Linked DNA regions of Diceros bicornis minor. The main gene of each other region encodes a partner of the protein of the gene in region 4 in a complex. Links are inferred from orthologs where the notes say so. Each region holds a gene or a part of one and is shown on either strand. Other genes may lie near its edges.

Region 1 (7,016 bases), on a different chromosome or scaffold from region 4:
CACGGAACTTTAACCACTTTGCCACGGGGCCGGGACCGGGGCAAGTTTTATATACCATACTTGTGCTATTTGCTTCTAGGATTTTCAGCAATTTTTGGAGTTTAGCATCAACTCATTTTTTTTAATTAAAAAAATAAACATGAATTTATGCTTTAAAAAAAGCCAAATAATACAAAAGTACATCGGGTAAAAAGTTAAAGCCTGCCCTGCTTCCATCTCATTCTTTTCTTCAAAGTAAAACACTGTTAAACAGTCTGGTGTGTATTCTGTAGACCATTTTCTAGAACATTAGACACATACCCACAAATACACCCTGAGTTTTTGTTTACATAAATGACATACTAATCATTCAGTTCTGCTACTAGCTCTTTGCACTACACCATACTATCTCTACATTACATCTACACTATACTTGTAGTTGAATGCCCATAGATATTAAGGTGGTAGAGTGATGGGAAGCTTGGCTCCTAATTCTAATCTTGGTTTTGCTACTGTATGCCCTTGGTCACGTTAACCTTTTGGTGCCCAATTTTCCTCATTTATAAAGTGCATGAAAATAATAGTATCTACCTCATAGAGTTGTTACAATTATAGAAGTTGCAAACTTTACCTAAGATGAATGCATGTGAAGCACCTAGAAGGGCTTAGTAGTAACAGCCATTTAATGGCATTGCCTTAATATTATACTATTTTTACTGGCTGTGTAATTGTTCTTTCCTGCTGATGAACCATTTAAATTAGTCTCAAAATGTGAATGCCTCCAAAGTGGGGTTCTAATGGAGTATACTACTGTAAGCATTTAAGTACATCTTTTTTGCTTGTATTGAATTATATTCTTAAGATAAAATGTCTGTCAAAGGCTATGCATATCTTTATATATTTATGGCTTTTGCTAAGTATTGCTTTCCAAAAGCCTTATACTAGTTTCAATACTAATATCAAGGAATTATTCAAACCTTATAGGCAGGATTTAGAAAAATTTTGCTACCTTAGTAGTCGTAAGATGGTATTTCAAATCTATTTTAATTTGTACTTTTTGTGTCCTTGTGTGCATATTTATTCACGTACTTGTTTATTATTTGCCTTTTTTCATTCATTCTACAGTTATTGTATTTACTGAGTCCTTATTCTAGGGACTGGGGATGAGGCAATAAATAGAACAGACAAAAACCTACTATGGGAATGGCTAATACAGCTCTATTAAAAGTACAGTCTCTTAGATACTATATTAAACCAGCATAAGCTTTTCAAACTAACATAAGCAAACCTTGGGAGTCTTTGGCCTTTGCAGGAGGATAAGAAGTAGGTGTAGCCATGTGAAACATGCTCCATTGTACACCTTCCTGCTCATTTAATACTAATGAAGCAATTTATTTAAAGATTTGGAGTAAGAAAGTACATTAGTACATAATTTTTACAATTAAAAACATGAATATATTTGTCATGGAGTAGAAAGAAAACTTTACATGAGTTTTTAAAGATAAAATACTTTTCAAAGGAATTTAAAACACTCGTCCTCAACCCCTATCTCCCCTTGGTATTCAGTCCCCTATACTTCAGAGGAAAAACTTCAGAAGCATTAACATATTCAAAACCAACTCACCGTTGAGGAGTAAATGTGTGACAATGAGAAGAATGTCCCTTTAAGTGTTTTCAATTTGGTGATTACAAATAAAGCCACTAGAAACATTTGTTTTCCAAAGTGGCTGTTCCATTTGCATTCTTACCAGCAATGTGTGCAAGTTGTATTTGCTTAACATTTTCATCTACACCAACACTTGCCTACTCAGTCTTTTTTTTTTTCCTCATTCTACTGTGTAGTCGAGTCTCACTGTGGTTTTAATTTGCATTTCTCTAAGGATTAATGATGTGAAGCATCTTTTCATGTGGCTTATCTGTCATTTGTATATCTTTTTTTGGTGCAGCGTCTGCTCTAATCTTTTGCCCATTTTTTTTACTGCGTCTTTTTTTCTCATTATTGAGTTGAGAGTTCTTTATACATGCTAAATAAAAATTCTTTATTAAATATGTTTTGCTAAAAAAAACTCCCAACTCTCAGGTTATGATATATTTGAGCCTGTGTACTCAGATGACCGTGAACCACTTTAACTCCACACTTTGTGTTTTTATAACTGATTTAAATCAATTTACAATGTTATCTTGCTCAGGAATTATGTTTTTCTCTATCTCTAAAATGAGGGGGATTTAAAACCAAGGGGATTTAGTTTACTGTCAATATCTAAAATACCTGCATTCAAGCTCAAAAAAAAGGTATTACGTATAAAACTGACTATAGCCTAAAATATAGCAGAAACTCTGCTTCCTGTTAGGATATAAATAAGCAGAGTAATGTATGACCCAGGAGTAAATAAGAAAACAGTATCTTTAAATGACATTACTTTCTAAATTAGGTTTAAAAAAAAAAAAAGTGAACCAGCAACACACTAAGAAATGATTGAAAAGGTGTTTTAACTTCCCAGAACCCATACCTTGAGAAGGAACTATAAAAAGGCAGGTGTTTTAAGTTTTGAAAGTATTGCATGCAAGCCCCCCTTAATTCACATTTGCACCTGCATCATTTGCAAAAATTGATGCGTAAAATTTCAAAATAGCAAAATGTAAGATTGTTACAATATTAACATGTGGTTTAATCCCCTCTGCAGCAGACCATGTTACCTTGCAAATTGGCATCCTTTACCATTTCTAATCGTTACTATAGATAATCTACTTCAATGCTACTTGAATCGAGCAGTTAGTTTTTAGACTTGAAACCTCTAGCGTAGTTGCAACTGCTAGAAGTTCCTCCGGTGCTGTTCCCCGCTCCTCCCGTCTCTCCTGCGAAAGGAGGTCACCTTCTACTGTTGACTACCGTACTCATTTATCTGGGCGAAATTCCCAGCCCGTTCCTGTCTTCCTGCATTGTTCTCCTGGATCTGGGCTCCTTCACCGCGCACATTAGTTATTTCCCGTAGAGCGGAGAACGTAAGCACTTTGAAGACCAGTCGCAGACTTGGATTATTTCCCTTTTCCGTTCCAAGCACGTCTCCAACTAAAAACTTTTTTCACCTGTCACACTCCTGCTCATTCTTGATATTCAGTTTCCTGTCACAGAGTTTTCGCTACTCCAGTAGCTATGATGTCTGGGCAAAAATAGCTCACATTTTTGCTTAAACAGTAACGGCCGCGCAAATTTTATGGTTAGATTAGTCTCTAGTCCGAAGACCGCGTCTCCTAATTAGTGAGGCGGGATACACCCGAGGAACGAGGAGCTTTGGCGGAGAGAAGGCTGCGGGCACGTGTCCCAGCTGCGCGCCCAACCCTCAGGAACACTGTCGCCGCACCCCGGGAAGTTTAGGCTCCCGCAGCCGCTTCCGGACCCGCCTCTCGGGTAGCACTGGAACTCGCTTTCCCAGCAGGCTCCGCGCGGCCCCGGCGCCCCCGCCCCCTCGCGGTGCGGCGCTCGGCGCGCTCCGGGTTCTGTCGCAGGCAGACCCGCGAGCCCCGCCTGCGGCCCCACCCCCTGGCTCCCAGCTCCTTCCCAGACTCCCGCGAGTTCCAGTCCCGGCTTCCAGCTCCCCAGCTCCGCCCCCAGTCGCGCGCGCTCTCCCCGCCCCGCCCTCGTCCCTCCGCGTGCGGCCGCCACAGCCAATGAGGTTCGGGGCCGCGTGCGCAGATTCAAACGGCGGCTCTTGAGGGAGGCTGGGCGCGAGATTCGGCGGTGCGGACAAAACCCTGCAGGAGGCTGCGAGCCCTGCAGAGCTGCTTGCTGCGGGGAGAGGGCGGGGGTCGGCGCCCGCGGCGGAGCCGCGCTGGGACGGCAGCGAGGAGGCTGAGAGGCGTCGGGAGGGGCCGGCGGAGGGCGGGAGCGCGCCTGCTGACATGTTGGGGGCATTCCTGACCGGGCCGGGCCGGGGCTAGGAGCGGCGCTGCGGGCCGGGGGCGGGTCGCGGTCTGCCCCTCCGTCCCTCCGTCCTGCCCTGCCGGGGACGTGCGTTCCGTACTCGGTCGCCTCGGAGAGGGAGCGAGGCAAGCGGCGGGAGGGTCGGGGAGAAGGAGCATTCGCCTGAGGCTGGAGGAGGCTGAGCTGCGTCCCCGCCCAGCCCGCGCCTATGCGGTACTTGAAGGATGGCGAAGAGGTCGCGCAGGTGGGTGACATCCCTTTCGCCCAGGCTTGTCGGCACAGTCTCGGCTCAGATTCTCTTTCCTTTCCCGCTGCCTCCCCACCACGCCCTCCCCACCCGGGGCAGAGGTTTTCCTTCCCGCTGCTCCACAGCCGCTTGGGCCCGGCTGGCCGGAGCGCAGCCGTGACGTGTGGAGAGTTGGGGACCAGTGTGGTTAAGACGCAGAAAGTGAGTAAGAGATGCCCGGGTTGCTCCTTTGAGTTCCTTCTCCCCGCAGCGCGCGTCCAGACTCCTAATCGTTCACAGCAACTTTTTGGGGGGAGTTTCTTGCCAGGTGAGTCTGCGCTTTCAGGGAACGCGCTACGCAGATGCAAGTGGTAGTGTCCAGCCTGGACGACCTGACAGTGGTGTTCAGAGGGACTCTTTTTTTCGGAATTACTGTACCAGTTAAAGTAGGAACTCTGATAAACTTGGGCGGAGACCCCTCTGCCATCTTTGCTACCTTGAAAGGTATCTTCTGAGGAGTAGCTGAGGAGAGAGGACATTTTCCATGTTTTCTGTAATTACCATACCCATGTTCGCAGCTTTATGTACATATTTTTAATATCTTCCACTGAGAAGATGTCACACTGTTACTACCAGTAGCTTGATCTTAAAATAAAACAATGTATTTGATTTACTTAATATTTTGACTGTCCGTGTTTGGCTGTGACTGTACTTAAGTGTTGCACAGAAGTAGGGCACTTTTTTTTTATTGGAAAACTTGCTGGGATGAATTTATGCATCTGATTTTGATCTATATGTTACTGTAGTGGCTACTCCTAAATCACGTGTAGTAATCAGTTAGATGGCAAAAAACTAAGGTGTCTTTTAATTGTCAGTATTATTAAATAAACCAGAAAAGATGTTTGGCATGATTTCCAAGTGGTTTTGTTTATCTGAATCCATAGCCTCAAAGGCTTAACTAGATATGTATTTCCTAAATTGAGATTTAGTACTGGGATTCATTCATTGCAGATTTCTGTTAAAAATTGGCAATAATTACACATAATATTTGTTGCTTTATTCATTTATTAAGCACCTATTGTATGTAAAATGTTTTGCAGGAATCTGCATAAAATATAATTAAGTCCCTGTTAGTTTATTATTTTGTAGCAACTACAGTATAGGTCAAACTCTTGAGGTGGAACAAATGTGCGCACACACAGACATAAACCCACCTCTCTAGAACAAGATTTTCAACCTCGGCACTATTGATATTTTGGATCAGATAATTCTTTGTAGTGGAGGGCTGTCCCGTGCTTTGTAGGATGTTTAGCAGCATCCCTGGCCTCTACCCAGTAGATGCCAGTAACACCCTACTTCCCCCAGTCGTGACAATCAGAAGTCTCTCCAGGCATTACCAAGTGTCTGTTAGGCAAAATCACCCAGGTGAGAATCACTGCTCTAGAATGTCAGGAACCCAAATAATCTCTAAATCTTCAGAAAAGGTAGATATTAAAAGGTCCTGTAATTATAATTACTGAGGTACTGGTTTAGGCCTTTTCTTTTGAATTTTTAAATATACAAAATTTAAAAAATAAAATGACTTCATTAAGCAAGGTGACAAGTGATTATTTATGTCACCTCAATAACAGAAGTTTGTTTATATTCCATGTGTGGCATTATCTACTTATCAGTGTTGATGTGAATCTTATTTGAAATAGTTTCTTGGCTAATGCTGTCATCAGCATTTAGTTATGGTTGGACGTGGAGGCTTGAATGTCAGAACCCTGTCTTCTGCAATTGGTTTTCTGTCTATTTCAGAATTTGTGTATGCTTCATAATAATAGACTAAGAGAGAAGAAATGATTTTATGATTAATATGCTTGTATAAGTTATTTTCTTTTACTGACAATACTATGAGCTTTGAGATGTAAACATTAATTTTACTGTTGACTTTTATTGCTTGTCAGCCATATAAATTAATTGAAACATTCAATTAATTGAAACATTAATTGAAATCATATTATAGAATGATTAAAGAGTCCTAAGTCTGGGGTAATTAAATGTGGTGGGGTGAAGTTACACTCTGTATGAAAGTATTCAGATAGAAGTGGTAAGAAATTACCACCTCTGAATGGTATATTACTTAGGGTCTTCATACTTGAATGTTTCATGTTCTAAATTATATTTCTTGTACGTGTAAATATGACTTATTTATCTTAGAAGATAATAGAATGTGAAATATTTTGAAGGGGAAATAATCTGTTCATTGGGCAAATTCTGGTTTCATGGCCTTTGGCTAAATATCTTAATATTAAATATAAACCTAATTTATAATTGAAAAAGAAAGGAAATAATTCAGTCACTTTAAGATCTCTGCTATACAACCATTTAAGTATTTGAGTATAAACTATACTTTGCTGTATAAAAGTTTTGCATAAGATTATAGGCATAAATCCTGTAATATACTTTTTCTGTATGGTCTGAAAAAAAAGTAAAAAACTGTTACCTCAGGTGTGAAACAACTGAAGGATGTTGACTCTTTTGATCTTTTAAGATAGCTGTAGTATCTCTGATCTATATTTACATAAAGGAAAAGGCTCATTTAGTGTCGTGACTTTATATAGTTTTAGATCCCACTGGGGGGTTTTAATGACGTAATTTACAGGCAGTACTAAAATTGTATATCTGTTATGAACATGTATTGATTTTTAAGCATGTTTATGTATTAAGTAATTTTAGTTTTTAAAGCCAGTTCTACCCTCAGAAATAAACTTTAAAAAATGTCATTTAGAAGCTAGAAGGCCTATTTAAGTAGTAGTAGATTCAGGTATTTACAGTTGAGACCTGTGACTACTCTAAACTGAAAAGATAAAAGCTAGCTCTTGAATTGGACGATGTTTTTCAGTG
Region 2 (7,887 bases), on a different chromosome or scaffold from region 4:
AACCTACAAAACTGACCTGCACCTATACCCATCCTTTTTTCCTTCCTCCCTCTTATAATGGAGAAGACAGCTAGCAAGCACGGTGGGGACAAAGTGACTGGGAGACAGAGGTGCACAATCAGTATCTGTGGACTGACTGAAGAGGTGTCTGTGCTCCAATCTAAGGCTAGTCTCTGCACCTGTGCTCTGAAGCCAACCTTTCCTACTGCCTGACACTTCCATCACTTATCCTTTCTTTCCTGTAACTTAAACCTCTCTCCATCCAATAGCAAGAGTTCTCTATACTAACTACCTTTATTTCCTAATCTCCCACTAACTCTTCAATCTATTCCAGCTTTCATGACTGAACATCAGTGACTTTCTACATCCCATGGACTCTTCCCAGTCCTCCTTGTACTTGATCTCTCAGCAGAGGTGATACGGTTAAACATGGCCTCCTTCCTCAACCTCCTTTTCACCTATCTTCTGTGATGCCCTGGTATCTCTTCTATTTCTTAGGCCACTTCTTCTCTGCCCTCTTTGCCGGTTCATTCTCCTCTCCCTGGCCACTAACTGTTCAAGTTCCTCAAGGCTTGGTCCTAGGCCACCTTTTCTTCTCATTCCACGTACTTTCCTTGGGTAATTTCATCAACCCTCGTGGCTTAATTATCTAGATCCTGATGATGCCCAAATCTGTAGTCTTCTGCCAGAATCTTCCTCTTCAGCTAATACCTACATAACTGTCTTCACATCTCTACTTGGATGTTATTTAGCTACATATTCATCCTCCCACCAACCTTCTATGTTTCCTGTAGCCCACCTTTCAGCGAATGGGCCTACTATTCACCTTGTTGCCCAACTAGAAACCTGAATGTCACCCCAACTCCTCCCTCTCTCTCCACATTGAATCAAACAAGTCCTGGCAATCTGTTCTCCTAGAAGTCTTTGGAACACGCCCCTTTTTCTCTACCCCCTCCTGCCATCACCCCAGTCTATATTATCATCGTCTCTCATCTGGACTTCAATATTGGTTTCCTAACAAGTCTCCCAGCCTCCAATCTTAAACCTTCTGAATCCATTTCCACCACATAGCCAGAGGGTCTTTCAAAACACAATCTGGTCCATCACTCTCTTGTTTAAAAACCCTCCAATGGCTTTCCACTGCCTTTGGGATAAAGACTAATCTTGATGTTGCTTAGAAGACTCTACATAGTATCTTTACTTCTCTAGTTTCATAGCTTGCCACTTTCCTCTTTGCTCTCTTTGCTCTAGCCATTTGGAACATGTTTTGTGCTCTCTCTAATCTTGCACATGCTGCTTCCTCTTGCCTGGAACTGTTTCATCCCATTTTGCTTGGCTCCTACTCCTTAGCTCCCTACTTAGCCATGACTTTGGGTATAGGTGCAGGTCAGTTTTGCAGGTTTGCTGGTAGGAAGTTTTCATCTGATAGTTTCTGTTTCCTTTGAAGTAGGAAAAACAGAATTAACTCCTGAGAGTGAGAGGGGAAGTAGCAGAGTTGGAAATTTTTAAGTCTCAATCTCAGGTCTAGGCTAAGTACCTGATTGGGGAGTTTATAAAACACCTGAATTCCTCTAGTCCTCATATCACATTATGGAATAATACTTTTTTAAATCATTAAGTCTGTCTCCTCCTAGATCACCAGATGGTTCTGTCCTCAGCCCCTAGAACCATTCCTGGAATAAAGTAAGCACTCAGTAATATTTTGCAGGATGAAAGAATGAGTACTACCAAGCAATTTTTTGATACAAATTTTGTTTCATGTATACTCTCTTATAGGGCAGAAAATGCATGCATCAGCCAGCTTGAGCATTCTAGGCTACTTAATTTTATTTTTTCATTTGTATACAGCTTCCCTGCTGCAAAGAGGGCATAAAAGGCACTGCATCTGGTATAATAAAACATTATCATATAGTTTTTGACAGGTTAGATCTCTTTTCTTCATTTCCCAAGAAACACTTGTTAGCACTGTTGCTGAAGAAACTCCCCTACGTCCAGTCACACCAAACTTCTTGCTGTCTAGATGTTGCTATTACCTTTACCAGGAACTCCCTTCTCCCCTTGGCTAAAGGCCTGCTAGTCTTGTAAGACTCAAGCCCAGAGCCACCCTCTTTTGGAAGCTTTTCCTGAATTGCACAGGTTGAGTCTGGGGCTCTTTCCCTATGTTCCTGCAGTAGCCTGTGCACTCCTACTGTTTAGCACTTATCATTGCATTACAACATGGGAGCTTTCAGTGAGTATTTTACTTACCTCTCCTTTCCCAAAGCCTGGGACAGTGCCCAACACAGAAAGAGATGACAAGATTTAAGTCTTGAATTCTCAGCTCCATCAGTTACTAGTTGGGAGACCTTAGATGACCTTAAGTGTCAGGTAACTCACTTCATTATATTCATTAATTCTAATCTTCACTAATATTCTTAAGAGTAGAAAGTGGTGGAGCTGGGATAGTATCCAAGTATGACTGTGAAGCCTGTGCTCTTTCTACCACATCACTGAGGAAAGTCACTGAGTTACTTTAAGACTGGTTTTCTTATCTCTAAATGGGAGTGGTAATATTACAAGGAGCAGAAGTTTTACTAGCCACCATAACGGAGAAGATACGCTGAATACTTAAAATAACTGAAGACGTGAACTCTCTCCTTTACAGATCCTTTTGATAGTCCTTTAAAATTCATGACAGACAGATTCTAGACTATTCTTTATCAAAGAGTCATGTTACAGTAACTCCTAGTTGGCTAAGGATTACTATTTCTGTTCTTTTCCAGGTCAACCCAGAAGTTTCTTCAAATGAATCAGAAAATAGGTCTGTTTCCAAAATAAAGTACATGGGAAAGGAGACTTTTTTCCTTGATGCAAAGGACAAAATACTTCTTAAGGCTCTCAGTGATTCATTGTGATGGCGGGGAGGCAAAGGAAAAAAGTCCATTTGTATAAAAGATTTCAAGGAGAAGCTGGGAATGAAAAGTATAGGGTGGAAACTTTGTTTCCCTACTTCTAAAAAAAGATACTAGAAAAACAGAACTAGGATCACAGCAAGAAATATATGACTGAAGCCAGACCATCTGACAAACCCTTCCAACCCACTCTCTACACTGTCTCATTAAATAGCGTATTTAAACATGAACCTTTGCTGATTCTGCTAAGAATCTTAAAAGTGCGAGTTTCTGCAGTGGAACTCACTGAAACCTGGTAAATAATAATATTATCTAAAAGTCCAGCAATACAGAGGAAGAAGTTCCCAGGTTGGATGTAATAAGTAAGAAGGTCAATGTTGTTTCTTGCAGGTTGGAGAATGTTGCCTGCAGTAAATCTTGCCTGACATTCTAAGTCTTTGCTGGGCTGTGAGCAACAGGGGAAAGGCTATGGACAGAATTGGAGATCACAGGCCTCAGGCATGAGCTCCTGTAGCTCTACCACCTCTCCTTAGGCTGGTTTAGGGGGGACCTAAACCCCTCCATGGGCAGAGTTGAGGGTGTATGTGCACATTAAGAGCTGACTTTGGGGCAGGAACTTGGAACTTACACTTCTTGTCTTCCTTGGCTCCCATTTTCTAGCACCTGTTTTAGAGATGTTTAGTCCCTTGCATGTGCTTGGAACAAACTGGTAGCATAATTATGTGTCCTTATTTACCGCCAACATGAACACTGTAACTTTGCTGAGAGAAAGTTTAACTGCAAGTCGGGGCAAGCAAGGGGACAGCCCACAGCCTGTGGAAAATACAAAGCACCATAGCTGGGGAAGAAAGCTCAGCAAATGGCTGCTTTGGGGGAAATCTAGTGTACACTTCTAGAAGGAGATTCAAAGTTCATTCTCTGACCCTCGCCCCTAGTGTGCCTCCTCCTCTCCCCTTTACCTCGGATTATAGACAGTGAAGTAGGGTGGGGGAAGGGAACAATCTGGACGCTCCCGGCAGGTGCAAGAGCTCTAAGAAAGGTGAGCAGAAGGGAAGTTTCTGGGAGAGAGGTGGCTGGTGCAGAGGTGAAAGGGAAAGACGGTGGGCACACCGAGAGAGGTGAGGGCAAAAGAGTGACAGCAGAGACAGCGCAGGGCTGGAGGAGGAGAGTGGGCTAGAGCCAGAAAAGGGGAGGCTCAAAAATAAAAGGGCGGAGGGCCAGGGGTGATAGTCCAGGGCTGGATCCAACGAGGGCAGACACGGAGTGAGAGGTGGGACAGGGCCGCACAGGTCGGATGGGAACAGGAGAGTCGGCCAAGAAGGGGTTGGTTCAGAGAGTGGATGGAAAGGACCCAATTCCTAGCTTTGCGACCCCTCGGCGCCACCCTCACTCACCTGCAGGATCCGGGCCCGCACTGCCGCCGCCGCCACCACCGCCGCCATGGTTCTCGCCCACCTCTTCTCCGCCTCCCTGGGCCTCAACTGGCCGAGACTCCCCAGACTCACTACAGCTGCCAGGCCTCGCCCCTCCATCCTGCTGCACCTCCTCATTGGTGGAGAGGACAATTTGCCCTAGCCAATGACTCGGCCTAACACCTGACTCCACCCCTCAGTCCCAGTCCTAGGGGTATGCGATTGGTCAGAAGTAGAAGGTCTCGACCCCTCCCACCTCCGCAAATTCTGTTGGCGGAGGTAGGGAAGACGTCCCTGACTTGGATGCTCTATATTGAGCACACCGGGAAAACGCCCCCTAACCGGGAATCCCGATTGGCCACAGGCACGACCGCGGCCCCACCCCCTCATTGAGGAAAGTAAATAACACTCTCCAAGAATTTGCCGTGGCTCCACCTCATCCGCCGCGCGAGGGGGTGTGGCTAGTATTAGGAGCGGGGCTAGGCAAAGATTGCCCTATGGGGCGGGGAAATGAGAGGGGGCTGCGAGTTTGGAATAGGGTTTCTCTTTGGGGGCGTGGCTTATGAGTCCTTGCTTTCCCGCCGACGGTTGGCCACGTCACGTGACATGGGTTGGAAGATGGCGTCTCCCACAGAGGGTAAGAGCCGGTTTAGAGATCCTTCGCCTACAGGCTCCTTTGCTCTCCTGGGAACTTCCCCTCTCCATCTGCCCCTCGAACTTACACCTCTTTCTCGGGCTCCTCTCCTTTCCGTTTCCTTGGGATGTGGGTGCGTCTTCAGCTCGCTGGTTTTTCACAGCGGCTCTGGAGGTGCGCAGTTTCCTCGCTGGGTACTAGGCGGGTGGAGGAGGGCACACGCGAGGGATCCATCCCGGGCCCTGCCCTTCCTTTAGCCCCATTTGGGTGAAGCTGAGGGCCGAGGAGGAGATACTGCCGGAGGAAAGGAGGTGCCTTACTGTAGCTTTCTACTTCTGCGGCGCCTCATTGAAAGGTCGGTTCTCGTCTTTTTGAGTATCTGAAATGATTCTCTCAAATCCTAGCTGGGATTGGTGGCTGACCTCATTCCTGGACTGGACTGCAAGAGAAACGTGACTCTCTCCTGTTTCCTCAGATTGGTACCGTTGACATGAGAGCCCCGAGGAAAATGAGAATTGAGCTTTTTAGTGTAGTCTTGCACACGTCGCAACCTTTCTTGCCGCTGCTTTATGTGTTATTTCCTCAGGCTGAGTGAATGAACGATTTCTGCTTATGTTGTCTAAGATACAAGTCATCTCAGATAGCAACTGAGTGGTTTTGGTATATGCATATGCGTTTGCTCTTGGTTCTGCTTTAGAGAGTTAGGGTCTTGCAGTCATTTCTGAACTCACTTAATTTTTGCTTCTGTCTCCCCCATCCCCACGTCCTTTTCATGGATATGTAGTGTTCCCTCCTCAACCCACCACGTTTTGTTAGGAAGGAATCTTGGAAGTTCATTTCAGGACTGAGGAAATATGAGGCCAGAAAAACTGTATTGAGTACCTACTATATGAAAGGCATAATGCTAGGTGTTTGGGGAGAGGAAAAGATTAATCAAACATGTAAACACTTTTGCAGTATCAGGTCTCATTTTAAATGTTGCCTCTCGGGGAGGCTTTCCCAGAATACAATATCCAGAGTTGCCTCCTTCACCATTATTCGCTATCTCAGTACCTTCATTGTCAGCATAGTTATTCTGTTAACTTTGCCGCTTTCACACGAGATTATAAATTCCAAGTCTGTCTTGTTCATAGTTGGATCCCAGGGCTTAGCACAGTGCCTGGCAAGCAGTAGGCCTTCAATTAACATTTATTGAAAGAGTGATTAGATATAGGCATAAATAATATATTACTTTGGCTTTGGTTTCATATTTAACTGAAAGTTTTTTTCAAGTTTTTTGAGTGCAGGTACAGACTATATAAGAAATTATGGGTGTTCGAAGTCAAAAGAGATTCTTTCTCCTGCCTGGATGCTCTCTTGTTAAAACGTTCTCTTGCCAGAAAAAAAGGGGGGGGGGGCGGCATTTAAAATGTCAGCCAAAGGAGTGGGAGTTATTGTTTAATGGGTACAGAGTTTCAGTTTGGGAAGGTGAAAAACTTCTGGAAATGCATGGTGATGTTGGTCACACAACAATGTGAATGTACTTAATGCCACTGAACTGTACACTTAAAAATGGTTAAAATGGTAAATTTATAAGTTTTGGAGATTTTAAAGTTATGTTCCTTGTGTTTGATTTTTCCCTGTCTTCTCTCAATTTCTTTTCCTTTCTTTGGCCGGGAAGAGTTTGGAAATGTTATATATTTTTTTCCTTTGATCTTCTAGCCATCTCCACCATCACTCTCTTTTCACTCTTGATTTTTAAAAGTTTTTATTCTCATCTTTCACAGAGTTTCACCCTTCTCCATCTAATATTTTATTTTTAATCTGACAAAATCAAGTGGAGCACTTTGAACTTAAATTCATCTTCTAAATAAGTATCACATCCTAAAATATTCCATTGCCTAGCTCCATCACTTCTGTTTTTAGGGCTCCACCTGTCTCTGTCTTTAAAATTTAATTCAAATAATGTTGATTTGAAAAAAGTTTAGGTCATTTATGCATTTATCTTTTTAAGGCTAAATTTACTGGGACTTCTTTGAAAAGGAGAGAATTGAAATCAAGTAAAGCTATCTAATTAGTTATTTTATGAGAGTAAGACTCACAGCGGAGTCTGAGTTATGCCCCAGACTGGTATCATAAGGCCACCCTTGTTGGTTGTTGGATCCTACCCCCAATAAGTTTCTTTTTGTTATGGTAGAGCTTCCCGTCAGTACCATTCCTTGGGCATTTGAAAATTGACATTTTGTGTTACACACAGCTTTTCTTTGTTACCATTTTTGGATGCTTTAGTTAAGGCGATGGATTGGAGTTAAGTTCTTTACCAATTAGAATGCCATTGGAAATTCTCTTAGAATATTTGGGAAGAAAATTCAGTTTAGAGAAAAGCACATATTGAAAAATTTTATACATATGTACATTTTCTGGGGAGTAAGTCCATAGCTTTTTTTTCAGATTTCCAAAGATGTGACTTGTCCAGAAAATGTTAAGAACTACTGTTTATATCATTAAATGAACTAATTTATGCAACTAGTTAGCCTATTGAGTATACAATATGTACTCAACAAATGTTAACTGTTGTTAAAATCCAACACCTACTGTGTGCCCAGGCAAGAATGGAGAGGAAATGGTGTCAAAGAATTAGTCAGGGGCTGGATCATGTAGGATTTTACAGGGCACGGTAGATATACATTCACGAATTTAGCTGGTAAGAAGTTCTTTAAGCTGGAGAGTGACAGGAACTGATGGACATTAAAAAAAAAACCAGTTCTGGCTACTTTGTGGAGAATAGATTTGAGGGTAGGGAGGGGAAGGAGTAAGAATGAGAGCAAGGAGACCTATTAAGAGGCTACTGAAGTAGTCTAGGAGAGAAGTGATGGTTTCTTGGATTAATTTGGTGTCAGGGTGTATTTTGGAGATAGAAAGTAGTGGATTTACTAATGGATTGGTTATGGAAGGGTGAAGGAAAAGGAGG
Region 3 (7,339 bases), on a different chromosome or scaffold from region 4:
CCTCTTCCTGCTCTTAAGGTTCTATGACCCAGACTACTACATACAGAAAACTAACAGGAACAGTCCTCGCAGCCACCATTTCTCCTCTGCCATCTTTTACCACACCTCTCCCTCCTCCAACTCTCACAGGAGGATGTGTACGTTGGAGACACTGTGAGATAGATAGCCACAGACCACAGAGGTAATCTCCAGCGTGACCCCGCAATCCTATTATATTTTCCAAGTCAGTCTTCTCTATTGTGCCCCACCCATCCATCCATCCACCCATCCATCCATCAATTCCTCTTTCCGTAAATACTCACGGAGTGCCTGCTGTGTCGCCTACATCTCCAGTTCCACCACCTCCTCTTCCTTTCAGCGGATGACCTTGGCTTTGCAGAGCATGAACTCCCTCAACTTCCTGCCGAAATCACTTTACAAGCTGTCCTGCCTCTGTCCCTATACTGTCCTCCTGCCACTGCGTAAGTGGCATCCTCCTCTGGTCTCCAAGTGCGTCCTCCATTTGTGCTCCGTGTCTCATCCTGTCAGCATTCTCAGGTCATCCCCTTTCTCTATTGCGTCTTCAGCCTTTCCCTTTCTATGAGCGCCTCCTCATCAACATTGAAAAACGCAAGTCTCTTCCATCTTCAAAAAACAAAAAGGAAGGAAGGAAATAAGAAAGAAAGAGAGAGAGAAGAAAGAAGAAGGGAGGAAGGAAGGAAGGAGGAAGGAAGGAAGAAAGGAAGGAAGGAGGAAGGAAGGAAGGATGAAAAAGAAGGAAGGAAGGAAGGATGAAGGAAGGAGGAAGGAAGGGAGGGAGGGAGGGAGGAAGGAAGGAAGGAAGGAAGGAAGGAAGCAAGGAAAGAGGGGCTGGCCCGGTCGTGTAGTGGTTAAGTGCACACACTCGGCTTCCGTGGCCCAGGGTTCGGATCCCCGGCGTGCAGCGATGCACTGCTTGTTAGGCCATGCTGTGGCGGCGTACCGTATAAAGTAGAGGAAGATGGGCACGGATGTTAGCCCAGGGCCAGTCTTCCTCAGCAAAAAAGAGGAGGATTGGCAACAGATGTTAGCTCAGGGCCGATCTTCCTCACACACACAAAAAAAAAAAGCAAAGAGAAAACCTTCCTTCTTTTAATCTCTGAGGCACTCAGAGTCCAGATTCACCTTCTGTCTCCCTGGCTACTCCCTCTTAATTCCCTTTGTTGTCATTGTTTAGTTTAAAAACAGAAACACATCATGCCTGTTGTAAACAGTTAAGACAGCCTCTGCCGGCCCCTTCAGCGGGCTGTTCTCCGGTTCCGCCCCCTGGCCTTGCCCCACTTCGCTGTACTCACGCTCAATGAACAATCTTGTCTGTTCCTGGACTTCAAGCACCCAAATTGCCATCTTCAGTGCCAGCCTTCCCTCAAACCTAACCAACCCCCGAGCTCTGTTGCTTCTGCTGCTGTCTTGCATCTCCCGAGTCTGTCCTTTTCTCTCCATTTTCACTACACCGGCACAGTCGGGCCATAATCAGCTGCCCTTTCAGCGACCATCACAGCCTCCTCACCACTCTCCTGGCCTCCGATTTGACTGCTCCTCCCGTCGTTTAAGGTCTAAGAAGGGCCACACGGGAGGGCGAGGCATATGTAGAAAGTCGGAACACCTAGGAAATATTAGGTTACCTCGGTGCCATTGGATTGTTCTAAATCCCCAGTCCTGAAATACTGCATTAGAAAAGTTAACTTGGCTTCAATTTAGCTGGAGTATCAGGCCCTTGGGGGTGGGGTGGGGATCAGTTTCCTTATCTATAAAAGAAGAGCTTGGATTAGACCAGTGCCTTGCGGAGTATACCCAAATCTTCGGAGTTTCTGATTCTGTGGGTCTGGGGTAGGGCCAGAAAATTTGCATTCCTAACAAGCTCCCAGGTGATAGCAATGCTGAGGGCCACAGACCACCCTTGGAATAGCCCTGGACCAGATTATATCCATAATTTTAGTTTCTTCACCTGCACTATTCAATATGGTAGCCACTAGTTACACAGCTATTTAAATTAATATTAAATTAAATTAAAATTCAGTTCCTCAGACTCACTAGCCACATTTCAAGTGCTCAACAGCCACATGGGGTTAGTGGCTACCATACTGGACAGCACAGAATGTTTCCATTATTGCAGGAAGTCCTATTGGACATGATCATTTCCTCACAGACTTCTGGGGAGGAAATTTTACCATAGGAGGAAGGTAAAACATCCTATGACTGGTAAGGCCTCTCTGCATTCCGCAGGCACACGTGTGCACTTGGCCTATATTTCGGCCCTAATTTTCAAGTCCCAAGAGCCATACCTCATTCTGCCCTAGTGCCATTTTGCCCCAGGAAGCACACATAAAAACAGGACTGGAAATGGGAAATACTAGATTTTCTGTGCTGGGAACTGTGTTTGTACCACTGTAGAGCATGGAGGACAAAGCAAAGGATTTGGTGGCTGAAGTCCTGCATTTGAGTCCCCAGGTGGCCTTGAGCCTCTCTGAGCCGCTGTATCCTCATCTGTATTCTAGAAATATCTACCTCACAGGGAGATATGGGAAAAAGCACCTGTGATTTATGCCAAATTCAGTTATTTATTTTCTTCCTCCTCTGTGCTCCCATAGCATGTTATACACATTCTAAATTAGTACTTATGCGCCTGGTTACGTGTCTCCACCGGGCTAGGGGATGCTGGAGCACAAGGTAAGGTCCCCATCGGATTTAGTTTTCCCCTCATCACCGACTCTACTGCCAGGCACATGCTCCAAAAATGTGCAAATGATTACGTCTCAGGGTAAAGCCAAGTCACAGGTATTATAACAGTCTGGAAGGCTGTGTCATCGCCCTGACTCTCCACAGCTGGCTCATGCTCTGTCTTGAGCCTAGAGTGCCTCTCACCCTGACCCGCAGCCCACCCTCACTCACTCCACCCCATCTCTGGCTGAGGAAACTCTTAGTCACCCTTCAAGAATCTTCTCAAGGATCAGCATACCAAATTAATCAGCTGTGGAGCCAAATCCTGCCTCTCCCACTGCCCCCTCAGGACCTCGGGTAATTTTTGTAATCTTGCTAATCTTCATTTTCCTGATCTGTAAATTAGGCAGAAAAACACCTTTCAGTTTTGATACAAGAGATACATGAGAAAATGTATGCAGAACATTTAGCAGAATGCCAAACTTATAGCAAATGCTGGACTATGTCTTATTTATTAAAAACAGCCATTTCTGGTCTCCAGAGCTTCAGGGACTCCGGTTGGTAAAGATGTCTTTTAACCGCTTTGGGAAATTCTCCATTGTGCAACAAAATTCAGTCTTCTGGAGACTTCCCCTAGATTATCCTTTATTTCAAGTCATTCATTTACAAACATTTACTGAGCTCTCACCCCCAGGCACTGTGCTAGATGCCGGAGATACAAAGATTAGAGAAAGGCTCTGACCTCAAGAAGTTTATATGTAGTCTAACAGGGGGTCAACTTCCTCCGGAAACCTTCCCTGGCCCACGTCAAGCTGGGGAGAAGCCCCTGGTCTAACCACCCGGCTCAGTTGCTGCCCTCCACCCTGTACTTACCACATTCTGTTTTTTTATTCCAAGCATGAGCTGGTCCCTGTTCTAAGTAATCTATATTCATTAATTCATTTAATCCTCACAACAACCTTATGAGGTAAGGATTGTCATTATTCCTATCTAACAGATGAGGAAACTGAGGCACAGAGTGATTAAGTAACTTACTTAAGGTCTTGTAACTTATAAGTAGAGGGAGCCAGGATTTGAAAACACACCTTCTGGCTCCAGCTTAAAATGTTCGATTCATCCGTCTCTTCCACTGGAATGTGTGATGGAGTCTGTGCCAAATTCAAATGAGTATCTCCTGTGCCCACCACAATATCTGACATGGCAGGTAATCAATATTTCATTTATCAAACGAAAAAGAAAGGAAGGAAGAAAAAAAAAGAAGCATAGGAGAAAACAATTCCACAACGGTTTGGGTACGGACATTTACTAAGCATCAACACTGGGCGAGCGCCCGAGATGTGCGGAGGGAGTTCAAGAATAAATGAACATCCGCGCGCACTCAGAACTTTCAGTAATTAGTGTCATCAGTGCAGCGAATCCCGAGGGGACAAGGGCGTTTTCCCGGCTGCCTCTTTTCTCTCGCGCCGTTCCCTTCCGCAGGAATGCCTGCTCCACCTCTTCCTTCTCCGTCGCCATCCTCTCCGTAGATTCCGCCGTCCGGGGTTTCCTGGGCTCCGGCCGCCGGGAGAGCACCAATGCGTGGGAGCGTCCCGGCAGCAGCAGGCATGCGCATTGGGGGCGGCGCACTGCGCATGCGGGAAGATGGCGGGCCTGGCGTCCTGAGGGCCCTGGGTCACCCTGCTCCTCTCCCGCCTGTGTTGCAGCTCCCGGGGTCGTGGGGCAGTGGCGGGTTCGTCCGCGGGCCGGCCTGGCCAGGCGGCGCCTCTGAGCAGGCCACGGGCCCCGTTCGCGCTTGGCCCCCGGGAACCGGCGTGTTGGGGGCGGCGCCCGACCCGAGCGGGAGAAGGCGGGAGAGCGCGCAGGGTGCGAGGGCCGGGGCGGCCGGCTGGGCAGCATGAGTCAGCAGCGGCCGGCGCGGAAGCTGCCCAGCCTGCTCGTGGACCCGGCGGAGGAGACGGTGCGCCGCCGCTGCCGAGACCCCATCAACGTGGAGGGCCTGCTGGTAAGCCCCGGGGACGGCCCGAGGCCGGAGCGCCCGGGCCCTGGCGCGGCGCGGGGTGCGTCTGAGCCCGGCCGCCGCCTCTTTTCCGCGGGGCAGCCGCGCTGACGTCGTCCGCGTCGTGCGCTCCCCCTGCGCCGGGCCCCTGGCTGCTCCTCGGGCTCCCGGCTCCCGCGCTGCCCAGCCTGTGCTGTGAGCCCGACTGGCCGTTCGCTTGACTCTCGCCTCCTACTTTCTACACCTGTTCGCAAATGTGCTGTCAGCCTCCTTGGCTTTTCCCTCGGGGCTGCAGAGCCCTGCTGGAGAAAATTGCCCAGCTTTGCGTTAGAAGAGCGTGTGTTCCTACTTCCCCTGGCCCCTCCGTGTGTCTCTGCAAGCTATCTTGTCTTCTTCCCTGCGACCTCCTCTCCTATTCTCCTACTTGATTGCAGCCATTTAAAACCTTGTCCACGCCTCGCGTTTCCCGCCCCACAGCTCCCGGTTCAGCAGATTGTCTTCAGTCCTGTCTGACAGAGAATATGGAAGAGAGAGTGGGCTCCCTTCTGCAAAAGGTTAATTTCTCCAATTCTTTTTTTTTGTTTGGAGGAAGATTGGCCCTGAGCTAACATCTGTTGCCAATCTTCCTTCTTTTTTTCTTTTTTTATCTTTTTTCTCCCCAAAGCCCCAGTAGATAGTTGCACATCATAGTTGTCCTTCTAGTTGCTCTGTATGGGATGCCACCTCAGCACGGTTTGATGCGGGGTGAGTAGGTCCGCGCTCAGGATCCGAACCAGCGCACCCGGGGCCGCCAAAGCTGAGCGGCGAACCTAACCGCGACGGCACCGGGCCGGCCCGGTAATTTCCCCTATTCTTGCTCTAGACAGATGGCAGTAAATTCTCCTTGGCTCGTAGGGCTCTTGATGAAGCCGTCATTTTCCATTTCTCCCCATATTTTCAACTTCTTTGCTGGTTTTTCCCCCATAGCTAGTAACTAAACTTTTACCGAAGTCAGTATGGCCAGTCTTCATGGGAACTCAGTGCTCAAAAATAGTTTGAGCCTTATCTAATTTAACTCCTCAGCTGCAGTCCTAAGAGATGATGATTCTTGTTTGACAGTTGCCAGAATAGACTTGGAGATCTTAAGTGGCTTGCCTGTGGTTAGATAGTATGCAGAAAAGCCTGGATTTAGTTAGTGTGGCTCCAAATGATAAATTCTTGACTACTTAAACTGCATCCTAAATCCATCCCCGTCTTAAAAGTTCTCTCCCTTAGTTCCTGATGCCCTTCAGTCTACTGTATCTCTTCCTACTGTATCTCTATCTCCACCCCTTCACAGCCAACCTTTGAAAAAATTGTTTGCACTCACTGTGTCCACTTGCTCACCTCTCCTTATGACCATGACCCACTGCCAGGGGACCTCTGCCCTCAGCACAGCTGTAAGAGTGTTCTAACCAAGGTTACCAGAAGCTTGTCCATTCTAGCAGATGTTTCACTCCTTATCTCTGTAGTTTTGACATGATTGACCGCTCACTCTTTTTGGAAACCCTTGCCCTTGAATGGCTTCTTTGACACCACATACTCTTGATGCGCCGTCTACTGGTCTGGCCTCTCCTGTGCTCTTTTGCAAACTCTTTCCATTCCTTACCTATTGATGTCATCCTGGGGTCTCTTCTAACCTTCTCTACCCATTCTTCATGTGGGATGCCGTTCACCACTCTCATGACTTCTGTTACCCTCTACATATATTGGTGCCATCTGTATTGGTGGTGTTAATCTTTGAGAATTTGATAAAAGCTCTGAATTCTCACTATGGAAAAAACACTTAATTTTGTATTTAATATCAGAAGATACACACATCCCTTGAAGTCTTAGATATTCTTATCCACTGTGGTATGTTCAGTTACCATGTCATGATAATTCCCAAATCTGTAAATCCAGCTCAGAGCTTTCCAGCTGTCTGCCAGACATCTCTACTTAGATTTCAAACTCGTATATCCAAAATTGAGTTCGTTTTCGTTTTGCCTAAGCAAGCAACAACTTTGCTGTCACCTTTCTTAATAAATGGTACCACACCCACCATATTGCCCAAGCTAGTATCCTAAGCATGATCCTTGCCTTTTCCTTTTTTCAAACTGACCCCCTCCCGCTTCCCAATCGGATTAAAATTAATCACCAATACTTGCCACTTGTAAACATCATCTGTCTTTTGCATTGTTGCAATGTCTTCCTAACCAGTTTTGCTGCTTCTGGCCTTGCCCCCAACTTTTCTGTATATTCTCCACGTAGTAACTAACCATAATGGTCTTTTTAAAGCATATTTCTGATCATGTCATTTGGCTTAAAGAATCTATCATGGTTCCCAGTGCTCTCAGGATAGAGTAGAAACTTCTTAATATAATCCAGGCCCTGGGTTTATCTTTCCTGAACTGCTTATGGTTGCTGAATTTTCCGTATTTCCCTATTCTTTTGTACCCCTACATATCCACACTCCCCCTATCAAAAGAGCCTTTTTTTTTTTTTTTTAACACACTTTTTCCTGTTACCTCCCATGGTTCTTTAGGTCTAGATTTATGGGTCAGTGGTCTGGAGACTTCTGGCCTGTCAAGACTGGGTTAGGCACTCCTTTTGTGCTCCCAAAGCGCCCTGTGCTTACTTACTCGCTCTTTGCAATGTGTGGCTCTT
Region 4 (7,625 bases):
CAAGATGGCCCATGTCACTCCCGCAAAGAGAAAGCCAGGCCTGGAATGCAGGTCTCTCCACCCATGGGCAGTTTTTCCTGTGCTCGACTCTTCTGGACCTATCTCTCTTTCCTTGTGCTGCTGCCTCAGGCGCCCTCAGCCTCAACGCCCACCTCTCTCACCAGGCCCACCAGCCCAGCCTCACCAAGTGGAAACAGTAGTTCTTCTCATATTTCATGTACTTGAGGCATTGCTCACAGAGCTGGAGCTGGGACTGTTTCCCATAGTCTTCAGGGAACAGCGAGAAGTAGGAGGCATTGATTTCGTATTTCCGATGTGGATCTTGTCCACATACGTCACCTTGATGACCTGTGGGCAAGGTGGGAGTGGAGGGCAGTGGATGGCTCAGCTGGGGCAAGGAAGGCAGGGGGCAGGGAGTGCCCGCAGTCAGGACCCCCAGCCCTGCTTACCGCCTCATGCTCTTTCTCCAAGGCTGCTGTGGTGGGGTCCATTTCTCCATAGGTCTGGGCAAGGAAAGAGCAGTGGACAGAGGTGAACAGAAGTGGTTGGCGGTTCCTCCCTCGTCCCAGAACCCAGTGCTTCCCTCCTGTCTTCCAGACCTCATCCCCTGAATGACAGTTAGAACCAGAAGAATAGCTAACTTGTTTTACTTGGTTTTGAAGCTGCCTGGTCTAAGCTCCTCTCCTGTCTGCCCACCCACCCATATATCCCAGATAGCCCTGATGCCTGATTTGGTCTTCTTGCCAGATGAACAGGGCTAGGATCAGGAGGCCTGGATCCAGTCCAGTCCTGGGATTGATAACAGCTTCAGCTGTACAATGGGATTATCCAGCCCTGCCAAAGCTGTGAGACAGATGAAATAATGGATCTTGTCTTCCAAGCCCATAGCAGGAACTGGTGCCGACTCCCCTGTGTGCTTGGACCTCTTTCCTGAGCACCGGCTGCTTGCCCATGGGACAGCTCCCAGAGGTCCCTCCCACAGGCACATCAGACTCTAGGTGTCTAGAAAGAAACTCAACCTTTCCTCCCTGCAGACCTGTTTGTCCTCCTGGTTTTATTCCTTATACCTCACATAAGGTGTTTATTCCTTTTACCTCACATTTACTTTCTATTTTTAGGATGAATAAAATATTTTATCATAAAAAGGACTTTAGGTTTGTTTGGTTTTTTTTTTTTGGTGAGGAAGATCGGCCCTGAGCTAACTTCCCTTGCCAAGCTTCCTCTTTTTGCTGAGGAAGGTTAGCCCTGAGCTGACATCTGTGCCCATCTTCTATTTTGTATATGGGATGCCGCCACAGCATGACTTGATGAGCAGTGCGTAGATCTGCACCCAGGATCTGAACCTACGAACTCTGGGCTGCCGGAGCAGAGTGTGCAAACTTAATCACTGAGTCACCAGGCCGGCTCCTGGGTGTGATATTAAGAAGAGGTTACTTTTATTAAGGATGGCTGTGAAATCCTTCTACTGCCCTAATCAAGTCATTTCAGAAATGAACGGAGGAGAAGGTTGTGTCCCTTGCTGAGGAAATTCCAATGCTTTGATTCTACTTGGCCCTACCTATTAATGTGATTAAACTCCACATGATAGGACTGTCTCTGGAAGACAAGGCTTTGATTTAACACATTTTTCTCTTAAGTGTTTTTTCTTTTATCAGTCACTGGATGGATTAGCTGTGAAAACAGGATGCTTTAAAAAAAAAAAAAGTCATATCGGCAATTGTCCAGACAATTACAGATCTTTTTGTATGATAAAAAGGTTTCACTAAGGACCTTGTTACTCAAAGTGTGGTGTTTGGTGAAGTAGCACCAGCACCAGTTGGGAGCTTCTTGGAAACGCAGACTCTACACCCCACCTCAGACCTACCCATTCCAAGTCTGAATTTTAACAAGATCTCCCAGGGATTCCTGTGCACGTTACAGTTTGAGAGGCGCTGGTCCAGGAGTCCTATAGGTCCACCTACAGAAAGAACATCCAGCTCCAGGAGAGGGGCAGCACATGGAAATTCCTCAGGTTGAACTGTGACAGATCTCTCTCTTTCAGATCCCTTTCTTTGTTGACCCGCATATTTATACGTAGAGACTTCACTTATTTATGCTTCTCTCCTCTTTCCAGCTGTGCTGGGCTGTGGCACTCCCCTCCATTCAATAAAAACTTACTGAGCTTCTCTTAAGCACTGAGGATGTGGTAGTGAGTAGGATGACTGGCCCGAATCTCAAGCAGCTTATAGTCTAACGGGATACAGATACCAAGTGAGTAATCACAAGTTTGATGAACGTTAGAAAAACAAAATTTTATGGGAAAAGAGCTGGAGATGAGGAGTCAGAGGAAGCTTCTCTGGAGAAAGTTTAAGCTTGGATGAGAAGGCACATGTAGGTAAGGTGTGGGTGAACAGGGGGATTGCTCCAAGCGCAAGGGATACCCATGAACGGCGCTCTTTGGATGTTTATGTTTGTATTTCCAATGCCTTGTGCTGATCTTGGCATACAATAAGTGCTTAATAACAGTTCGCGGAATCAGTAACTGTTCCGTCATGTTTCAGACGTCTACTCTCTGGCATTGGAGATAGTGGAAGCTTTATTTTCCTTTTCAAAGGAAATAAGATCCCTTAATGGGGAAATGAGAAGGAAGAGAGAAAGCTGACTGTTGTGCAAATTGCTAAATTGGAACTGTGAGTGGGAATGAAAAATTGATTTACATGAATTTTTCTCCCTGAAGCAACTTGACAATTTATTCTGTTCTGGAGAATTTTCAGTTTTTGGCTTCAAAACCAAGCTGTTTCTTATTCTGAATTTCTTGGCCTCCTGTGAAACTAGCATTTAGTGTCTTTTACAGCATACCCTGATTAGGTCATGGAAATTCACAGCTAGATCAAACCAGTACATGGAAAATTTGAAACTTTCACTGCCCATTTTACTTAGTGGTGTTGGAAGGTGTTAGGAAAGACTGACTTTTAATTCATTTTTTTCAAAAGCAATATTATCGAATGATCATACAATTGCCATCATTTATTGAACACTTACTATATGCATTACATAGCAAAATCCTCATATTAACTCAAGAGAGTATGTTGAGCCATATGAAAATTGCCAAATATTAGCAATTTCATATGGCTCAACTTAATATTATCTTCAGACTCTCACCTTAGAAACTTATAAATAGGTTAGAGAATCCCTAATAACCATGGCCTTACTCCAAAATTTAGTACTGAGTTTTCTTCATAGATAGAGAGATCTCGAGAGAGTTACAACTGCTTAGTAACATCCACCCCTCTTACCTCCATTAGCCAAGCGCTCTGTGTCTACTTTTATTATGGTTGTTTATACATTGTCCTGAGGTGGTTTACAATCCATCTCCCCTGCTAGACCGAGTTCCTTGAGGGTGGAGGTTTTGTCTGTTTTGCTCAGTTTTGTATCTTTGTGCTTAGAGTGTCTGAAAAGTATTCGTTAAACTGAAACTTTAACAAAATTTCTTTGGAAACTAAATAAATCTTATTGCTTTTTACTGGAAAATGTAATCACTTTTGCATTTTTGAATCAGTCTGAGGAGTATTCGGCATTCTTGAACTCCTAGGACTTTATCTATGTACAATTATGCAGAAACTGTCTCTCCACCCCTCCCCAGAGAAAGGTCCAAAGGTACTCTCTCACCTCCTTTAGGTATTTACTTAAATGGCACCTTTTCTGCCGCCTTCCCTGAGCGCCCTATTTGAGACAAGCAGTCCCTCAAACATCCTCTCCGCTTCCCATAGTACGTATCAGCATGTAACATAGTTTATATTTTGCTTATTTCTTTTTCATATTGTCTTTCCCATCCAACTAGAATGTAAGCTCACACATGATTTTTCACACAGGCACATAATTAATAGACAAAATGTTTTAATATTTAACTAAATGGACAGGTATTTGGGGGTGTGGGCTGCGATTTTCTTTTAAGTTTCCACGTGACATGGTGACCCGGCCGGTTTGGATCTTATTTGCGTAGGTGTTGAAGAACCCACGTCTAGTGGTCTGTAACCCATTATCTGAATAATTACAGGGTGTCCCACACTTGGCCCCACACGTGGCCTCACAGTCTCTCGTCCCCATCCTCCTCCTCCCTGCTCTCCCGGGCGACCCATCTAAAGGCCTGGGGACCGAGGTGTAACCGCTCTTGTTCCCCTCTTTCCGAGAGAGACGGGGTTTTTCTGCTTCGGGCTTGGGCGATGCGGATGGATGGAAAAGTCAAGATTCCCACCCAAGCCCGGGGGAGGGAGGGGAAGGGCGTGTCTATAAATTTTAGGCCTCAGGCCTGTAGCCCGCCCCGAGGCGGCTGGGGAGAGGGCTGGCGCGGTCCCTTCGGGAGACCCATGAAGCTTCTCGGGTGGGTAACCCGGGGCTGGGCAGAGCGCGCGAGACCCCGCCCCTTCACCTCTCAGCCCCCTCCTCTCTGTGGGGAGCCTAGGGGCGGGGTTTGTTTACTCCTTGCACGCACCGCTGGCCCCACCAATCCGTGGGGAGCGGCGCCTTACGTCACTCATCCCGAAGGCCAATCGGCGCTCACCGTGCTGCTCCGCCGCCAAAGCTCGCGCGGGGGAAGCGGGGCAGTGGCTGGGCTGGGTGAGGGCGGACGGAGGCGCCAGCGCTCTGGGCTGGAGTCGCCGCCGCCGCAGCTCGGCACGCGGGGCGCGCCCTGACCCTTCGTCTCTGGGCAGGCCCGAGGGCGCGCGCCCGGTCGGCGTCCGGGGGCCTCGAACTCCAGGGCCTCGACTGGGCAGACCGCGGATCTCCCACCCCCGGCCCGAGTGTGAGTCCCCCGGGACCGGGCCGCCGCCAAGCGCGGGCGCCACAGGAGCGGCGGGGCCCGAGGACGCGCCCCAGGCTCGGAAGAACAGCCCTGCGCGGCCGCCTCGTCATCTGCAGCCGAGCGGCGGTAAGGGCCGGGCGGGGGCGCGGGCCCGGGGCCAGGGCCTCTGGACCCGGCCCGGCGTGTTCCTGGGCAGGTTACCCTCCCTGCGCCTCGGGGCCCCCATGTCACCCCGACTCGCATCTGTTTGTTCGCACGCGTTCTCCCAGGCCTGACCGAGTAACCCATGCGTGTCTGGAGGGGGAGTCGGAAACAAGAGAGCCCCACACACCACACCACACACACACACACACACACACAGCACACTGGGGGCAGGCGACGTCCCTGAGTCATGCCTCGTGTTAGAGAGGAAGAGCTGCTTTCTACTTTCTCGGTGTCTTCAGGGCAGAAGGATGGCTTCTAAGTCTGGTCTTCTGGCTTTTCTCCCTTTCATGACCCACACGCCTACATCTGTCTCTACTAGGTGTTTTTCAGGGTTCCACAGCTTGGTGCGCTTGTAAGAACCTCATAATCCCCATAGGGGGACTTCTCTCTAAAGTAGAGGATCTGTTTGTGGGCCCAGACTCCTTTGAGAAGTTCCAGAGAGCTAAGATCCCTCTCTACAAAAAAAAGTAGAAAGGTTTTTGCAGGATCTCACAGAGAGACAGTTCAACAAAGTGAATGAGCGCTCAGCTCTGGTACTAGCTTGTGTTCCCTTGTATTGTGTGGTCTCAGTTTCTTTATCTGTAAAATAGTATGTACCGATTCGGGGTGTTGCGAGGAGTAAATGGACTAATCTGTGGAACGCATTTGGAACAAAGCTCACCACGTATTAAGTGCCCTGCATGAGTTAGGCGTTTTTATTATTGACTACCGTGAATGCTGGTTTAGAAAAGTTCCCTGTATTGTTTCTCTTTTTCTTTTGAAACAGTTAACAGGCTCGTCCCTTCCATATTCACTGCTGAAGCTCCCTTTGAATACTTTTCTCTTCCTCATTCTATCTCAGAGGGCTCAGACTCCCTGTCCCACTTATTTGCTCTCTTTTTAGTAAGTCAGTAGCTCATTCTCTTCCTTTTCCTGTCTCCCTCAAATCTTAGTTTTGTGTTTTTTTATTTGACTTCTATAGCCTGACTTTTTCTGGGCCACTTTTATTTTCTCTTAATGGCCTGAAATCATCTTCACCTAATAAATATAGGTGAAGTTATTCATCTGTCTTCTATACAGTGTAATCATGACCCTGTTTCTGTTCAGAATTAAATATAAAATAATTTAGGTGGTCTGATATTGCCTGTTGCTTTTCCATTTCATTGGTAGCCTATAATTTAGCTAAAGCTTTATCACTGCCCTATTACTGTAATAAATCTTTAATAGCAGTGTCCCTTCTCAGGTAGCACCAGGAGAAAAATCAAATGCCCAGACCCCGGAGTCTATCACCCTTGTGTACTGGCTCTCCATGCATTTGTTATTTATTAGAACATCTTGTGCCTGGAACTAGAGTCTAGTCCCATGGCAGACATGGTGTCTGTGGCACTGTTCTGGCAGTACAGCTGCAGTTTCAGCAATGTGGTGCTTATATTTGTTAATAAAGGCTCAAGACTTATTCAACTCTTACTTTTGAGTTCTCTTTATTTCTAGTTGTCTAATTAAGAGAGAAAATGGAGTTTTTCAAGTATATAATACTTCATATTACCATTTTGTAGTCTTTTAACCCCCTCCCATCTCTTTTAAGTATGTAGTCCAACTGGCACCTTCAAGTTTTTCCCTTGCAGCCAAAATTCTTAACTGTCTCAGCTGTGTCCTCTCAATACAACTTGAAATTGGATGTACAGATATGTTCATCCTTAATGTGGAAAGTATTTGTGGATGAAAATTATACACTAAAATGCATACTAAAGGATTCAAATATTGCTTTTTATAATTAGGAATTGAAATGTGAATATACATTTGCTTTTTTTTTTAACATGATAGACTGGCTTTGTTTTCTTGCTGTTGATAACTTATGTTTTATACATAATGCATGAGTTATGTATATTTACAAAGCACCATTTTTAAAGTCCTTTTAGATGTATGAAAGTTTTTAGAACAAAGTAAGGAAACACGCTAAGCCAAAATTAAATTCATGGCAAAGATATTAGAATCTAAGTATTATGACTTCTAGTCCATGGTTTCTTGGTCTATCTTAACAGGAACAAAGGATGGAAAGGGAGAGTTTAAGATGAAGTTTTAAAAGCAGAGGGAGAAATTTCTAATTTGGGCATTAAATATTAGGTATTGGGTAGTACATTAGCATCTTATTTTTTATTTTTAAACTTAGGTGTGTTTCTTTTAAAGGTTAAGTAATAAGCCATACTATCTATGAACTTACTAGTAATCAGTTTACATTGTCACTTGGCAAACTTGACTTTACTTTCCTTCTGACCTTGTTGTATTTTAAACTCTTATAGCAATAGGTATCATAATGCATCTCAGAACAAACTAGAAAGCATACACTTGAGAGTTTTTTTTGGGTCATAGAATTTTAGGTTGTAATGAATTTTAAAGGTTATTAAATATACTCACCTCTTCTTCACACTTGAATCCTTTCCATTTTAATCTGGGATACATGACTCTAGGGATGAAGCATGAAGAGATTTAAAAGTAGATTTGTGAAACCTTGGAAATTTTATGCAAAATTATATACACTTGTATATTTTTCTGGAGAGAAGATTCAGTTTCGTAGTTTCTGAGGCGAAGATATTTGGACAACTCTAATTTTTATAAAATTATTCCTTTTACTGAACTAGAAGTTGTATCATCACTGGTT

What was found.
Region 1: TFDP2 (region 4) and MYBL1 share a complex: the UniProt entries of both Homo sapiens proteins name them as parts of the DREAM complex. The link is inferred for Diceros bicornis minor from reciprocal best matches to the Homo sapiens genes TFDP2 and MYBL1.
Region 2: TFDP2 (region 4) and LIN52 share a complex: the UniProt entries of both Homo sapiens proteins name them as parts of the DREAM complex. The link is inferred for Diceros bicornis minor from reciprocal best matches to the Homo sapiens genes TFDP2 and LIN52.
Region 3: TFDP2 (region 4) and E2F6 share a complex: the UniProt entries of both Homo sapiens proteins name them as parts of the DRTF1/E2F transcription factor complex. The link is inferred for Diceros bicornis minor from reciprocal best matches to the Homo sapiens genes TFDP2 and E2F6.

Annotation. Positions count from the first base shown.
Region 1 is NC_080772.1:19,069,432-19,076,447, reverse strand, and holds the start of MYBL1 (myb-related protein A), read left to right. Parts: upstream 1-3,998; 5' UTR 3,999-4,125; coding exon 4,126-4,145; intron 4,146-7,016. UniProt on the Homo sapiens protein: Transcription factor that specifically recognizes the sequence 5'-YAAC[GT]G-3'.
Region 2 is NC_080763.1:22,177,181-22,185,067, forward strand, and holds the start of LIN52 (protein lin-52 homolog), read left to right. Parts: upstream 1-4,868; 5' UTR 4,869-4,909; coding exon 4,910-4,940; intron 4,941-5,025; exon of another isoform or gene 5,026-5,044; intron 5,045-7,887. Other genes in the region: ALDH6A1 (methylmalonate-semialdehyde dehydrogenase [acylating], mitochondrial), read right to left, coding at 4,286-4,333.
Region 3 is NC_080751.1:68,834,115-68,841,453, forward strand, and holds the start of E2F6 (transcription factor E2F6), read left to right. Parts: upstream 1-4,330; 5' UTR 4,331-4,573; coding exon 4,574-4,681; intron 4,682-7,339. UniProt on the Homo sapiens protein: Inhibitor of E2F-dependent transcription. Binds DNA cooperatively with DP proteins through the E2 recognition site, 5'-TTTC[CG]CGC-3'. Has a preference for the 5'-TTTCCCGC-3' E2F recognition site.
Region 4 is NC_080741.1:11,623,645-11,631,269, forward strand, and holds the start of TFDP2 (transcription factor Dp-2), read left to right. Parts: upstream 1-4,607; 5' UTR 4,608-4,909; intron 4,910-7,625. UniProt on the Homo sapiens protein: Can stimulate E2F-dependent transcription.